2 linked regions of the Schizosaccharomyces pombe genome follow. The gene in region 2 interacts genetically with the main gene of each other region. Each region holds a gene or a part of one and is shown on either strand. Other genes may lie near its edges.

Region 1 (6,166 bases), 1.2 Mb from region 2:
GTGAAAAAATCGTTTTATGCCTTGTTCTGTTAAAAAATAAAACAGTAATATCTCCTATTACATTACTACAATGTTTTTTCCCGCTTTTCCGTGAAAATCCTACTCGTGGTGTTCGCGAACTTTTGTATCAACAGGTATCTCTCACCATTCGGAATGCCAATAAACAAGCCAAAAATGATAAGTTGAATAAAGCTGTTCAGTCTGCTCTGTTTACTTTGGTTGACGGTTCGGGTAGTGGTTCAGCAACACATACTGATTATTCTGGACAAAAGCGAGAATATTCAGCAAGTGAATTATCAGGTGTTTGGGCTGTCAAAATGGTTCGTGATTTATGGAAAAGGAATGTTTGGTCCGGTGATGCACGTGCCGTAAACATCATGAAATCTGCCGCACTATCATCAAACCCCAAAGTTATGCTTGCAGGGATTTACTTTTTCTTAGGTGCTGACAATCAAGAAGAGGAGGAGGAATCTGATGATGAGGGTCCAGATGTTTCCAAGCTTTTGCATCAAGCTAATGTAAATAAAAAGACAAAATCCCGTGAGGCTGCTTTGCTTCGTGCTCGCGCAGTTGTAAAGAAGAAAGAGCGAGGAAAACAAAACGTCCCCACAAACGTTAACTTTCCGGCTTTACAGCTTCTTCATGACCCTCAAGGATTTGCCGAAGAACTTTTTGAAAAGCACTTGGCTAGCTCAAAAAGCCGTCTGTCAATGGATCAAAAACTGGTGGTCCTTCGACTCCTTACCAGATTGGTAGGTTCTCACAAACTTACAGTCCTAGGTCTTTATTCTTTTTTAATGAAATATTTGACACCCCACCAGAGAGACGTTACTCAGTTTTTAGCATGTCTCGCTCAAGCTTCCCATGAATTCGTACCTCCAGATGCGCTTGAACCGTTAGTTAGAAAAATTGCCGACGAATTCGTTACTTCAGGTGTCGCCAATGAGGTTGTTTGTGCTGGTATTAATGCTATTCGTGAAGTTTGTGCTCGTGCGCCTTTGGCAATGACTCCCGACCTTCTTCAGGATCTAACTGAGTACAAATCTAGTAAGGATAAAGGTGTTATGATGGCTAGTCGTAGTCTCATCACTCTGTATCGTGAAGTTGCTCCCGACATGTTGAAAAGAAAGGATCGTGGTAAGCTTGCTTCTATTGAGATGAAAGATCGTACACCTTTGAAGTATGGTGAGGAGTTAAACGTCACCCACGGAATCCAAGGATTGGAACTTTTAGCTCAGTATAAAGCTGAACACGGAGAAGAAGGAGAAAATGGAGACGATTGGGATAATTGGGAAGTTTCAGAAGATGGACAGAATTCTGATGATAGTGGTGGCTGGATCGATGTCGATAGTGATGACAATATTGAATTAAGTGACAGCGATGAAGAGGAAGAGAAGGCCACTGCAAGAAAAGAATCAGATGAGAAAGGATCTTCTTCACAAAAGGAACTAGTTGATAGAATGACCGAGCTTGCGTCTCAATCTATTTTGACACCTAATGACTTGAAAAAGTTGGAAGAGCTTAGGGAGCAAGCGGGTGTTGATCGTCTCGTCAATGGACCTAAGCGTTCTTTAAAGAGGCCAGACGATGCCGTTGAGGCTGATGAAATTGAAGGTCCTAGAAAAAAGGCTAAGAACGACCGAGAAGCCCGTATTGCTAGTGTCATGGAAGGACGTGAAGGACGTGATAAATTTTCATCTAAAAAGGCAGGTTTTAACCCAACAAGTCTTTCTAACAAAAGAAAACAACGTAACAAGAACTTTATGATGATTAAGCATAAATTAAAAGGTAAAGCTGGACGAAGTCTTGTTCAAAAGCAAAAAGTTTTACGAGAACACGTAGCTCGTGAAAAAAGGAAAATAAAGTAAGATATTGATTACTATATTCGGTTTATGCTTTTCCTTTTGGGGCATCTTATATAGGTATATTTAATTAGGTTTTGGGTTTACATGATTGAGGGATAACCTATGGTAAAGGTGGATACTGGAAGTGAATTTAATAATATAAATTACTATCATTATTAAAGATAAACATATAAATCTCGTAGCGTCATCATAAAAAGTGTAAATCCTTAACTCACAGAAAATGCGTTATAGAATAAACAGTATCAAACCACATAAACTTTACGAAGAAGTTGGAATGGAAACTCTTTGCCAGAATAAGGGTCTCTAAGAAATCCTTCTCTAGTCCCATTAGCTTCGTTCCAACTTATGAGGCTCTGGATACCATAAACTCGACCGTTCGGGAAAGCAACAGGACAATTGTCGCTGTCAAGTCCTTCGCCTGTCAGAGAATCCACTATCGCAGACTGAGTAATATGGGCATAAGGAAGAGCTTTGCCAAGGTCATTTAAGCAGGGCGTACATACAGGGCATTGTTTCACAGTCTGGGATTGTAATGCTAAAGGATTATCATCATTCGCGTCAAGATAACACAACGGGGTTTTCAGGGAAGATAGACCAGCAGCTAACAATGCATGTAAAAGAGGTACAGACGGTATATTATGAACGGCAGTAAAATTGCTGGTAAACAAGGAAGCCAAATATTCCCATCGGTCATCGGATAGAAGCAACTAATTTGTCAGTATAAGCTAAGAGCAGAGGTCTCTCAATGTAAACTTACCGAATATGGTGAACCATTCGTAAATTCAGGAAAAGCTAGTAGGGCAGCCGCTAGCTGTAGTCGAGCAGGATGTTCATTTGCCCAAGTACCGAAGTGCGCTTTGGCGAATGCAATGGCTTGGCAAAGTTTTTTACTTTTTATTAATTCTATAAATCTCTGTAGTCGGACCTCAAGCTCTAATGTACTATTATTTTTTTTTAAAATTGCTCGATGCTCCGAACACCAAGACAAAACCTCTTTGAGCTCCTGTTGAAGAATGGAATCGTGAATGAGCTGATAACGCTTATATATGCCTAAATCAACCAAATTCTCCAACTGAGAGTCTTTACAAAGTAGAGCAGCTGCCCCATGGTACCCATTCGCCATCATATAATCAGCAACTAAACGATTCAGTCTGACTCTTGACCAATCTAAAAAATCCGCAGATTCCATGTCACGAATTCCTTGAAGACGATTCATGAACAACAGTCGTGACTTAGTTTGCTTGATAAACAGAGCTTCACAATCATGCAAATGCTTCATCTACACAAAGAACCATGTAAGTTACAAATATCCAACTCAAAAAAAGAATCAATCAAACTTACCTTCTTCTTTACAGTACTGACTCTTGAAAGGAGAGAATCTATTTTTTCTATTTTTTCATCCATTGATGCATTCTCTTGACTGATCAACGTTGTCAATGTGGAATTGATCACATGCGATTCATGCTCCAAGTGCCGCAAAATGTGTTTGAAGTTAATGCGCAATTGCTCAAAAGAGAGAAGAATACCAGGCTTTTCAAGTATATATTGCTGCTCTGGACGAAAATTCATGTTTGAAGGCAAAGTCTAACAAACTATTGGTAGATGGACCCAAAAATTTAAATCAACTAAAGAATATTGAATATTTTAAGAATAAGAAAGTAATTAGAAGAATTTGTTTAAATGTAAGGAAAACAGCAATTGCAGAAAGACGATGGGTTGTTGGCGAAAGATACACTTTCTAGGACCGTAGTGCAAGATGAATGAAAAATAAGGAGAGCTAAAAAACAATAAAAAAAGAGGTGCATATATTAATTTATGTCAGGAAAATCTGCAATTGGTATGGAAATCTCCTTTTTGGAATGCCCCGGGTTAATTTTTACCAGTCGACATTTTCGTGCCAAGTACCAATTTTCAAATGTCGCTGGAAAAGTCCTTGGACGAAATTATAAATGAAAGAACGGTAAATTTTTTTATTTTCGATATTTGTTTTAACAATCCTAGAATGGTTTTGATCACAAGCACAGTCGGCGAAGGGGATCTCAAAATCGTATTTCCAAAAAATCGCGATTGGTATGCTAATTTCGAGGATTAAGTGTTTATTTACTAATTTTTTACTTTTTAAGACCTACAAATTCAAAAGAGCATCAAAAGAACACAACTCTAGTCCAGACGATGGCCCGTGGCAGCATGACTTGGATCAAGAGCAGGATGCTCATCCAAGGACCACTCACCTACAGAAAAGACAACAGTATGTTTTGAATTTATAAGATAAGCTGTAAACTTTTTTATTACTCTATTAGCTCTTAGTCTACATGCACTGTTATTATCATTATATACTAACACAGCAATCTTAGCTCAGAAAATCGATTTGGGGTTCGTGTGGAAAACTTACATTATCAGGTTTTGGAAAAAGATGTTTTGGTAAGTGATATATGTTTACTATGTTTTCAAAAGCCTCGCTTTTAGTTTTCGATTGAAGATTATGAAACGAACCTGACAAAAAATCTCCCTGTCAAGCTAAGTAGAGCTTTGTTCCGATTTCGAATCGCTTTTTTTATTAATAAACTAACCTTTTCTTAAGTCTTTGTTTGAAAATTTCCATCCAATTCGCGTGATTATGAACTATGATCGTGCAGGTCGCTCTGAAGGCTCCTGCGATGTTTACTTTGAAACTTCCCAAGATGCTGAAGATGCCCAGAAGACGCTTCAATCTACGAACTTGAAGGGCTCCGAAATTCAAATTTCGAAAAAGTCTCCACCTTCCTTATTCGATCGGATTTCCGACATGCCACATTCAGCCCGCAAACCAAGCCGGTCTTCTCGTTCGAACCGAGGATTCAACCGTTCTTCAAAAAAAGACGACAGATCATTTCGTTCTTCTTCAAAAAAGTCTTCTAATAATTCAATTTCACACGAAGATTTAGACAAAGAACTTGACGAATACGCAATGTCATTTCACGCTGCTTCAACTGTGTCATCTCACTCATCACAGGATTTCACACCGTCAATAGCCAATGCTCATGAGAAAAACGAGCCTGTTGCTCCTTCAAAAGATAGTAATTTGACCGAGGAGATGGACCTCCAAATGGAAGCGGTTTAAGCTCGAATTGCTGTGCAAGTAACCCTTTTCCTATGCCAAAAGTTGATTATTGAGTCAATTGCTTTGATTTGTACATTATAAAAACGAACCGGCTAAAAGGACATCTTTCATCATAACCCCTTACTTTATATATAGATGCTCGTCAATTTCCATCGTCTTCCTTCTTCTACCACAATCGTACGAATCGTACCAAAAATTAAAATTTGCAGCAGACAGATTCATATTACCTTGCAAGGCCAAAAATTTATTAATTTTATTTTTTTTATTTATGTTTATAAGTGCTTGTTAACGAAAGAGATATTTTGTTTTTGTTTCTGGCATTATTCCATTCTATTCCTACTACAGTGATCATAGCAATTAACAATACATCATCACTGTGCTCTTGTAATTTGATTGAATCGTTTTTGACACAATCTTTCATTCTTTAAAATAAAATAAATTTATATATTTCTACATTACATTCTTATTTGTTAGGTAGAAATGGGATTGGGATTTTCTTCGAAAAAGCAATTACCTGCCTACTGTGGTCCCTTGCCTGTGGGGTCTTTAGTCTTAGAGCTGAGTGTTCCAGAGGAATTTCGATGTGAATATAAAACCATTGAACACAAACTAAGAACCGTAAAAGTACGCATTTTTTATCCATTGGACCCAACAAAAGATGTAGAGCCTCGCACCGATGAGCTTTGGTTACCATTCCATGAGGGTATACCCGAAGTTGCGAAAGGTTTTCGTTGGTGGCTTCTTCGTGCGTTCGCTTCTGGTTTGACCAACTTAGCTTTGCCCGTCTACAAAGGAGAGTTGTTTCATCCACCGAACAATGGGAAACTGCCAGTATTTATCTTCAGCCATGGATTGGTTGGCTCGAGAAATGTGTATTCTTCGTTATGTGGTACAATCGCTTCCTATGGTATCGTCGTCTTGGCCATGGAGCATAGAGATAACTCGGCCATCATATCTACAGTGCGTGATCCATTACATCCTGAAGAACCCCCGTACGTTGTTCAGTATCGCGAGATAAGCGACTTTTATGCAGACGCTACGGTTGTGCTTCAGAATGAACGACTTTTATTTCGACAGCAGGAAATCCAAATAGCCCTCCAGATGATTCGAAATATCAATGACCTTGGAACTCCGGACGAAAACTTACCCTTTCTTTGCTCTGTGGACTCTTCTTTTTATAATTCTGTTTTCCAATCCATGA
Region 2 (8,483 bases):
TATGTTTAGCTAGCTTACACCAAAATCAAGGGTATACTAATTGAACGTACAGAGGTACCTTAATCGTTTACATACAAATTGCGCCGAGCTGGTATCGAAATTCTTTACATGTAACAATGAATCGTTCCAGGCTGAGTTTATGACTTTAATTTATATAATTATTAGCATTATACAATAACATGTCTCATTAATTTGAAATTTCTTGATTTTGAACCTTCTGGTTCTAAATTTTTTCTGGAGATATTTAACATTCAAACAACAAAAGTCGATTAATTGGCTGACAGACAACAAATATAGATCAACCAATTGAAAGATGAAAAACAAAATTTATTCAAAGCATGATTTAATCACCGACGAACCCTAACATACATATATTTTTTATTCTGCATCCATCGAGCAACAAAATTTTAAATTAGAACGCAAAAAAATCGAAGATACAATTTTTATTAAGCGCGGTTTTGTCTACGGATGATTCGCTCACGTCGTTCTTGAAGTCGATGCTGTTGATGGCGTCTCATTAAAACCAGTCCGACAACTACCACAATAAGCGTGACACACGCAGTCTCCAAAAACCTTCCATCAATGTAATCATAAGTGAAACGAATATCATTATAGGATTCACCCATCTCTTCAGTATTAGGCGAGGGCAAGGACTCAGACGTTTCTTGAGGGTCAGGTTGTTGTGGTGTACGATCTACTTGTAGTGTTGGTGGTTCTGGGGGAAGTTGTGAGTCCGGACCTGCCGGGCTTAGTATGTCAAAAATATTTATAATAAAATATTGCACAAGCTTCAAAAATTTGTAAGTGACTTTTCCAAGTATGCGATAAATATTAGAAAACCAACTGTCGGGAGAAGAAAGCCTCATTCTTAAACGTGCCAAGGTCACAGCCAAAAATGCTCGTGTATCGTGCATTAAAGCATTATCATAGTTTTTCTTTGCCATTTCAAAATCCACTGGGACACCTACTCCATATTCATGCATCCATCCTAGACGCCAATAAGCCAATGCAGAAGGATGAATGGCAGCCGCCTGAGAGTAATAAGAAAAAGCCAATTCAGGTTTTGCTGAGGTACCCAAACCCATTCTGTAAAAATCTCCAATTTTTATAAGCGAGTGGATGTGATTTCTCGCTGCCGCACGAGAGTAATAGTTCATCGCAATCCGTGCGTTACGATGAGTTTGTTCATTTGTCGGAAAAATGACGGTTTTTAAGTAAGAAGTAGATGGATCTCGATCTTTTGCTGCCAAAATTTGCGACATTAAATTACCGAGCTCGGCGGAAAGGCGATGAGCAAAGTGTCTAGTTAGTGGATCAAAAGAGATGGTCTTAACGTCGAACAATTCCAACACTCGAGAAATAAAGTTTTCATAGTAGGCTATTGACAATTGATTATTGGAACCATAATATATATCAGCAATATGCAATACAGATTCAAGATGCCCATTAGATACAGCTCTTATCAGATGTACTGTAGCCTCATCTATTTGACCATTCGCTAACGACACTTTTCCAGCTACAGCAAAAGCAAGAGGATCATTGCTAGCCAATGCATTCTCTAAAAGTTTTGTGATTGACTCAGTGTTTTCAGCCACAGGATATCCCATAAAGTACATGTAGGCAATCGCAGCCTTAGAGGAAGAATGATTTAAGGATACACCATATTCAAACCACGCATACGCAAGAGATGGATCTGGTTTGCCAAGTTCACCATGTAGAGCCATACAGCCTAACCTGAAAGCTGCAATTGATAAACTGTTAGCAGTTTCTTTCGTGGTTGGCGCATGTCTTGGATTGTTGTGAATACTCTTTATAGCTTCAGAAGGAGAATCTGGAATTCCAGAATTTACTAAACGAATAGCTGCAAGATAATGTTTGACTGCTAATTTTATATCCTTCAACTTACCAGGAGTTCCGTACTGGTAAATCGTAGCAAGGCTTATATGGGCCGATATATTATTTCCACGTAAAGCGTAGTCCTTTAAGTATTCAACGATGTCATCTTTTTTCTGAACACTATAGCTTGAAGTACGTGATAAATCATATAGGTCAACCGGATATTCTGCTGCTATATCAGGAGCAAAATGAGACAAGGGTTGAACTAAGCATGATATTTGATGAGCTACTTGTTTATAAAGCTCAACCCCCTTATCCACAGACATCGGTGTAGAAAGTCCATTAAGGTGCTTATATGCAAGGGCAAGTAAAGCATACGTATAATTTTGGGTGGCCGATAGTTCAAGGAATATTCGAGACAACGGTTCGTTTCGAGGAAACGATAAACCTAAGCGTTCGTCAGGCCCCATGGCGTACAGCATGGCAATTAAAAATTGTGATTCCGGATCTCCTTTTTCAGCTTCTTCATATACGTATCCGGGATCTTTAACGAGTTTCGGAAATGTTAAAGTAACTAAATCAGGAAGCGTTTTAATAGACGCTGATACATTAAACCTCGACCCTTCAGGATACGAAGCCACGAGAATTGGCTTCTTATCAATGTTGTCATAAGAAAATTCACCACCAATTACCGTAAACACGCATCTTTTAAAAATAAAGAACAGACATATAAGGAAGTTAAGCAACTGCATCAAGAATATTACTGAAAGTGTGCCTCTTGTCCGTCCTCCCTCCTAAAAAGAACCGTTCAATTTCCAAAGTGGTGAGTTTATATATCATCGGTGACTCTGTTACCTGAATGGAGGGCTTAAAGAAATAGCGCTGGAAGCTGAATAAGTGCAAAGTTGTTTGAATAACAATAAGCTTGTAAATAGAAGACTGTAAATACATTTACATGGTGTCAGAAATATTCATCCTTCCAATTGTTGTCTGTTGTCTTTTAACCTAAATTTCCAAAATTATCATTTTTTTCTAGCAAAGTTAAAAGAAAATACCTTTTCGGTACTCGTATCTTTATCATAACCTCAAATAAATCATTCAGGATCGCTTTCTCGATAATGATAATACACACCATATTGTAATATAATTTATAATATTACCAGGCGAAGAGTAATAATCGCAAATAGTAATGATATTTCGTGATATCGTCTTATTGTCGTAAAACTCGTATCAAATACCGAATATACAGGTTATTTAAATCTTTCATTCTCAAGCCGATTTTATTTGAGCTAAATATTATGTTAGTATTGTTGCTTTACCAAGCACCTTTACTTAAAACAAATCATTTTACTTTAAATTTACAAAATGAAATTAGTTATAGAAAATAAGCTAAATTATCACGTTAGTTTTATGAAAACTTGTGCAGTTAAAAGATATCACTTAATATTGCCAATTTCGGTATTCACAAACTTGAAAAGTCTACAGTAAAAAATTGAATTTTCCACTTTACTAGACATTTAACAGCAACGCAGAGTGATTGATAGCGGCGCATTGTTACTAGAAGTAAGACATGTACTTGATTTTTTATTTACTCGCCTATAATTGTTGTAGTATATTTCTTCGCGTTAGAGAATGTATCGCTTCCTTGTATCTCCTTATTTGAGGCGGCGGTCCACCTACCGCTATTTCTAAGTATCCTTTTACGAACTACGCATCCAACTGCACCACAATGTCCAATTCGATCGTCGTAAGTTAGTATTGTTTTAAGTGTTATTCTAATGTTTTTATCAAGGGTGAGGTCTATCACCACGTGATATTAGACGTGATTGCTAATTCACGGAGCGATTTTGAAGAAAATGGTGTTGATGATGCAACTTTACGAGAATTACAAAATGTACGGTTTTATGAAGTTTAGGTCTTTTTCTAATAAAACAGTTATGGCAAAGCAAGTTAGTTGCTACCGATGTTGCAACTTTTCCTTGGGCACAAGCTCCTGTTGGCACATTTCCCATTGGTCAATTGTTTGATCCAGTTAGCGGCTTGAGGACAGATTCATTAGATGTTACTGCTCCAGCTGTTGCAAACTCTCCCATACTTAATAATATAGCCGCTATTCGTGCTGTTCAGCAGATGGATACATTTGCGCAGCAACATGGTAATTCAAATTATTATTCTCCACCTACTCCCTCTCTCCCCCAGTCAGCAACAAATATTTCGTTTGACAGCTCTGCAATACCTAACGTACAGTCCAACCCTAATAATACTGCCCCCTTCCCTTCTTACAGCTCTAACTCATTGCAACTGCCCACTAATCAAACTGCTGACTCACCGATTATCAACGACCATTCGACTGCAAATGTAACTTCTACGGGCCAAGAACATGCTCCCGACTCTTCATCTACTAACTCATTTGGCGGATTGTTACTTCCCAATCAAAACTCTCCGAAAAAGTCTGAATTAGGAGAGACAGAGTCTTCTAATACCACCCCTGCTAATTCTCGTAATGACGTGCCTCAAACCGATGGTGCTATTCATGATCTAGATGATGCTGGGAGCCCTTCTAATTTTGAAAGTAATAGATTTGCTATTGCACAGAAAGCTGATGCTGAAATTTATGAAGTTTTGAAAAAGAATCGCATTTTGCAAATTGACGGCACTATAGAAGATAACGAAGATGAAAAAAAGCCACCTGTTGATACGCCTTCTGACGAAGCAATTAACTCAGATTTAGACGATCCTGATTCAGATGAGGCTCCCGAAACTGAAGAAGGTTCTGATATTGGACAGGCTATCGTTCTTTGTCTTTATGACAAAGTGAACCACCACAAAAATAAATGGAAATGTGTGTTCAGAGATGGCGTAGTTGGCGTTAATGGAAAAGATTACTTATTTTTCAAGGCGAATGGTGAGTTTGAATGGATTTAAAATTTTACTTTAGGTGTTTTGCTTCAAAAAGTGATGGACGTATTTTATCTATCAATCATTCTTCTTTTTGGCCTTTTTGTTTTCTTCATGAATCATGTTTATAAGTGCATTTAAGTAATCTTCCTATCATATTTTAGTGAGCACATCAATCTATTCTACGGTTAAAAGTATTATTATTATTTCATGCAAATTTTATTCACTAAAGCAAGCAATTAAATTAGATCACAATGATAGAATTACAGTATATACACTTTCAAATTTTAAACGCTTCATACAGATGTACTGTAATTAGATGTAGTGTGGTCCGATAAATCATTAAAAATAGAAGTTGGCGAACCAAGGTGTTGCGTAAGCTTATCCTGAAATAAAGGTTGAAGCTTTTCTAACCACATTGAGCGCTTGTCCATCAATGATTTGATGACAGGAAAAGAGCCGCTCGTAGCTGAAGAGCCAATTTTATCAGTAACAATACGTTTCTTTTTAACCTTCAAACTTCTGTTACGTTTGACATACGCTTGTTCGATTTGTTTATCTAGATCATCCATCACATTTTGGAATTCTTGAAATGCCATTTCCTCAGGAAGCATCTGTAACAGCGCATTCCTCATTTTTTCGTTTTCATCAGAAACTACCTTCAAACGAGCATTCAAACTCCTTAAGGTAGCTGAAATTTCATCATCCTGTCGCTTTGACCAATCTACATCGCCATCATAAAGTATACCTAGTTGTTTTAGGGTGTAACGAAGGCGGTCCTCACAAATTGAAAGACTCGACTCTTGTATATCCGGTTGTTCTGTATATTCATTATTTCCTGACTCGATTCCATCAATGCTTGTACCAATTTTGCTTTTCTCGGATCCAGAATCGGTTTCCGCAAATTCGCCAACAGCAATAGAAGGTTTTTGCTCCTCATCATTCTGCGTGTAGCAAGGAATTAATGAAGCCATTAGTCGTTCAGTGAGTGGACCACACCTAACTTCCTCAGAGACGGTATCTGCCTCATTAAAAGCTTCAAGGGATCCTTGAGCAGAGGTTTGCAGGTTTTGGTAAATTGAGTTAGCACACAGGTTGGTCATTTCATCTTCCGGAGTTAAATCGTAATAGCGTTCCCCCAAAGGAGGAATATTATAGGAAGACGAAACGTCAAATCCTTTTTTTAAAAAAGCAATATCATCATCATTGAAAGCACGAAAATATGGGTCAAGTGACGAATAAAAGGTTGATATTGAAATCTGGTTATTTGGCTTGTTGTGAGAAAAATCATCAGTCGCCGGAGTTCCTGCCACCAACGATCGTACATCACTGGTTGGAAAGGAATCTACACATAAAAGCTTCTTTTTTTGTTCATAAGAGAAGGAATCGTCAACAATGAAAGATAGTAATGAACCGGTTAGAAGATCGTTTGCGTTTTTATATACCAACCCAGTTGTCTGTTCATCTTTACCCTTAACCGGTAAATCTAATTCATTCTCAATTGTTTCCACATTTTCGGGACTGATTTCTTCATTATGGGCCTCTGAAACTTTGGGCTTCTTGGAAACTTTTTCTAGCATAGACTCTTGTGGACTTTCGGAAAGAGAACGCTTTTGCTTTATTTCTTGTTCAACGTTGTCTTCTTTAAATTCTTCTACTTTTTCTTCCACTTTATTAACCGACGATTCGTCTTTTGAGGTTTCTATTTCAGAATCGACATGAGACTCTAACTCTTCTTTGCGCTGGCGAAAATATTCTACACAAGACGGTTCACACTCAATCATTTTTTGCAGCTCAAACAGAAGCCGCCATAATGTCGACACAGACGGTACAACACCAGGAGTTGACGTTTCACTCAGACGGGAAAAGGTCTCGTATTGATTTTCAATTTTAAAACATTGAGGAATCACCGCGGGTTTCGAATCAGCTTCATTTTGTTGTTCGGAGGACATCCCAAAAAAATTTAAATCGTGAACAATACAACATTTACATATGTCTCTCTCCCCCGAAAAAATTCATTACTGAGGTGGTGATTTTTTATACCGGATTTCGATGATGGCGTACTTTTAGCGAAGTCTAGTATACCACTTGTTACATTGTTATAACGGTGCTCAGAAATATTAATCAAGAACAGCGTTGAATTGCTACGAATATGATATCTCAAACCAAATTAAACAGCAATATATTTTATTCATAGTGAATCCATCGCAAAAGCAATATGCTTTGCGAAGTATTTTGAACACTATAAGTGATCTTTGGTTTGTTTAAAATTAAATTTATCTTAAATTTAATAGTTTCTAAACCAATTGGTCTAGCGCAAGAACTAGATAAACAGAGTTGCAGCTTCACAAGATATCATGAAATAGATCTACGAGTCAATGGAATAGGATTTGTTTATACTTAATTAAGAGGTAAATATTTACAAGAAAATGTTTTATCATTTTTTTTTTTTAAATTTTGGATGTTTTTATTGCTATTCTTTCCATTTATGGGACATTATTTGACTGTAAGTCTCAGCAAATTTAGTGGATTGAGATTAGAAAAAGAAAAAAAAAAAAAAAAAAAAAAAAAATTTTTCTCGGTTGTAGATTTTCTCATATTTTCCTATTATATATTTAATTTACTACAATTGTCTTTTGTAATTTTCATTATATCACTCAACAGAATCACATGAAGAAATATCTCACTGAACCATCGTAATTTCAACAATAACAATTGTCACATATATTAAATAACTATAAACTGTAATAATAATAAAATGTGAAGAAAGCTCAACCGAACTGGTGGGTTTAACTGAAGCAATTTCATCTGCTTCGCATTTCCAGCATTAACCAACCACCCACCGTCATAACCGCTAAGATTTAAATTCCCGCCATCACCCCGGTAGGTCAGCCACCATTTCCTGTATTTGCCATCGTATTGAAGCTTTAGTTGTATTAGAAACTTTGAATATTTTTTAAGTAGTACGATGGCTCAAAACTCAACCCAACTGGAAAAGGTATGTGATATTTTAAAGAGTTTTGGTGTTTTGAACCAACATAATGTTTTATGATTCAAAAAATTGATTTAAATCAAGTATTTACTAAAAATAATCTTTTTTAATTGGTTGAAAAGTTTGATGATTAAATGCAAAATTTTCTTTAGTTATCCGCTTGGTTTTTGGTTTTTATCTAACAAATTGCCGTCTTAGATTTCTGGTTCTTTCACAAGGTTGGCGGAAGCTTTTCAGTTAGCTTTAACCGCATGCCGTGAGATCGAAGAATCACTTCCTTCGATATTAGGAGAGAAGTCCGAGGTTTCGAAACCTTTTAAGCCAGCCGTCACTGATCCATCAAATGCGAAGAAAGAGATTAATATGGCAATTGAGTCTCCTTCTAAAAAAGCAACTTCACCTAAGAAAGCTACTCCTGCAGCAGTAGCTCCTGTTGAGGCAACCTCCGCAGTCGATACGTCGGAAGCTGTAGCCTCCATGACCCCAAACAAGCGCAAGGCTAGGGATCCTGCACAACCAAAGCGCCCTCCATCAGCCTATAATCTCTTTCAGAAGAACCAACGATCGGAAATCAAGGAGTCTTTGGGCGAGAAGAGTAACGATGTTAAAGAGGTGAATAAAGCGATGCATGAAAAGTGGGGCTCGCTATCTGAAGATGATCGGAAAACTTACGAAGAAGAAGCTTCTAAACTTCGAGAAGCCTACGAAGAAGAAATGGCTGCTTATAATGCTTCTAAAGAAAATGCGTCAGTTGCTG

What was found. A genetic interaction does not mean that the proteins touch.
Region 1: mutations in ngg1 (region 2) and gid9 together harm fitness more than expected from each alone (negative genetic interaction), as found in Schizosaccharomyces pombe (2 studies listed by BioGRID).

The regions. Positions count from the first base shown.
Region 1 is NC_003423.3:399,964-406,129, reverse strand, and holds gid9 (ubiquitin ligase complex subunit), read right to left. Parts: upstream 3,597-6,166; 5' UTR 3,435-3,596; coding exon 3,207-3,434; exon of another isoform or gene 3,145-3,206; coding exon 2,623-3,144; exon of another isoform or gene 2,573-2,622; coding exon 2,108-2,572; 3' UTR 1,917-2,107; downstream 1-1,916. Other genes in the region: SDA1 family protein, read left to right, coding at 1-1,868; tho4 (THO complex subunit), read left to right, coding at 3,781-3,825, 3,867-3,935, 3,989-4,113, 4,220-4,286, 4,447-4,965; plg7 (1-alkyl-2-acetylglycerophosphocholine esterase), read left to right, coding at 5,446-6,166. UniProt on the Schizosaccharomyces pombe protein: Component of the GID E3 ligase complex recruiting N termini and catalyzing ubiquitination of proteins targeted for degradation.
Region 2 is NC_003423.3:1,581,657-1,590,139, forward strand, and holds ngg1 (SAGA complex subunit Ngg1/Ada3), read right to left. Parts: upstream 6,743-8,483; 5' UTR 6,687-6,742; coding exon 5,031-6,686; 3' UTR 4,936-5,030; downstream 1-4,935. Other genes in the region: hrd3 (HRD ubiquitin ligase complex subunit), read right to left, coding at 447-2,588; transcription factor TFIIA complex large subunit Toa1, read left to right, coding at 3,566-3,583, 3,629-3,730, 3,772-4,761; upstream binding transcription factor, RNA polymerase I specific, Hmo1, read left to right, coding at 7,703-7,732, 7,925-8,483. UniProt on the Schizosaccharomyces pombe protein: Component of the transcription coactivator SAGA complex. SAGA acts as a general cofactor required for essentially all RNA polymerase II transcription. At the promoters, SAGA is required for transcription pre-initiation complex (PIC) recruitment.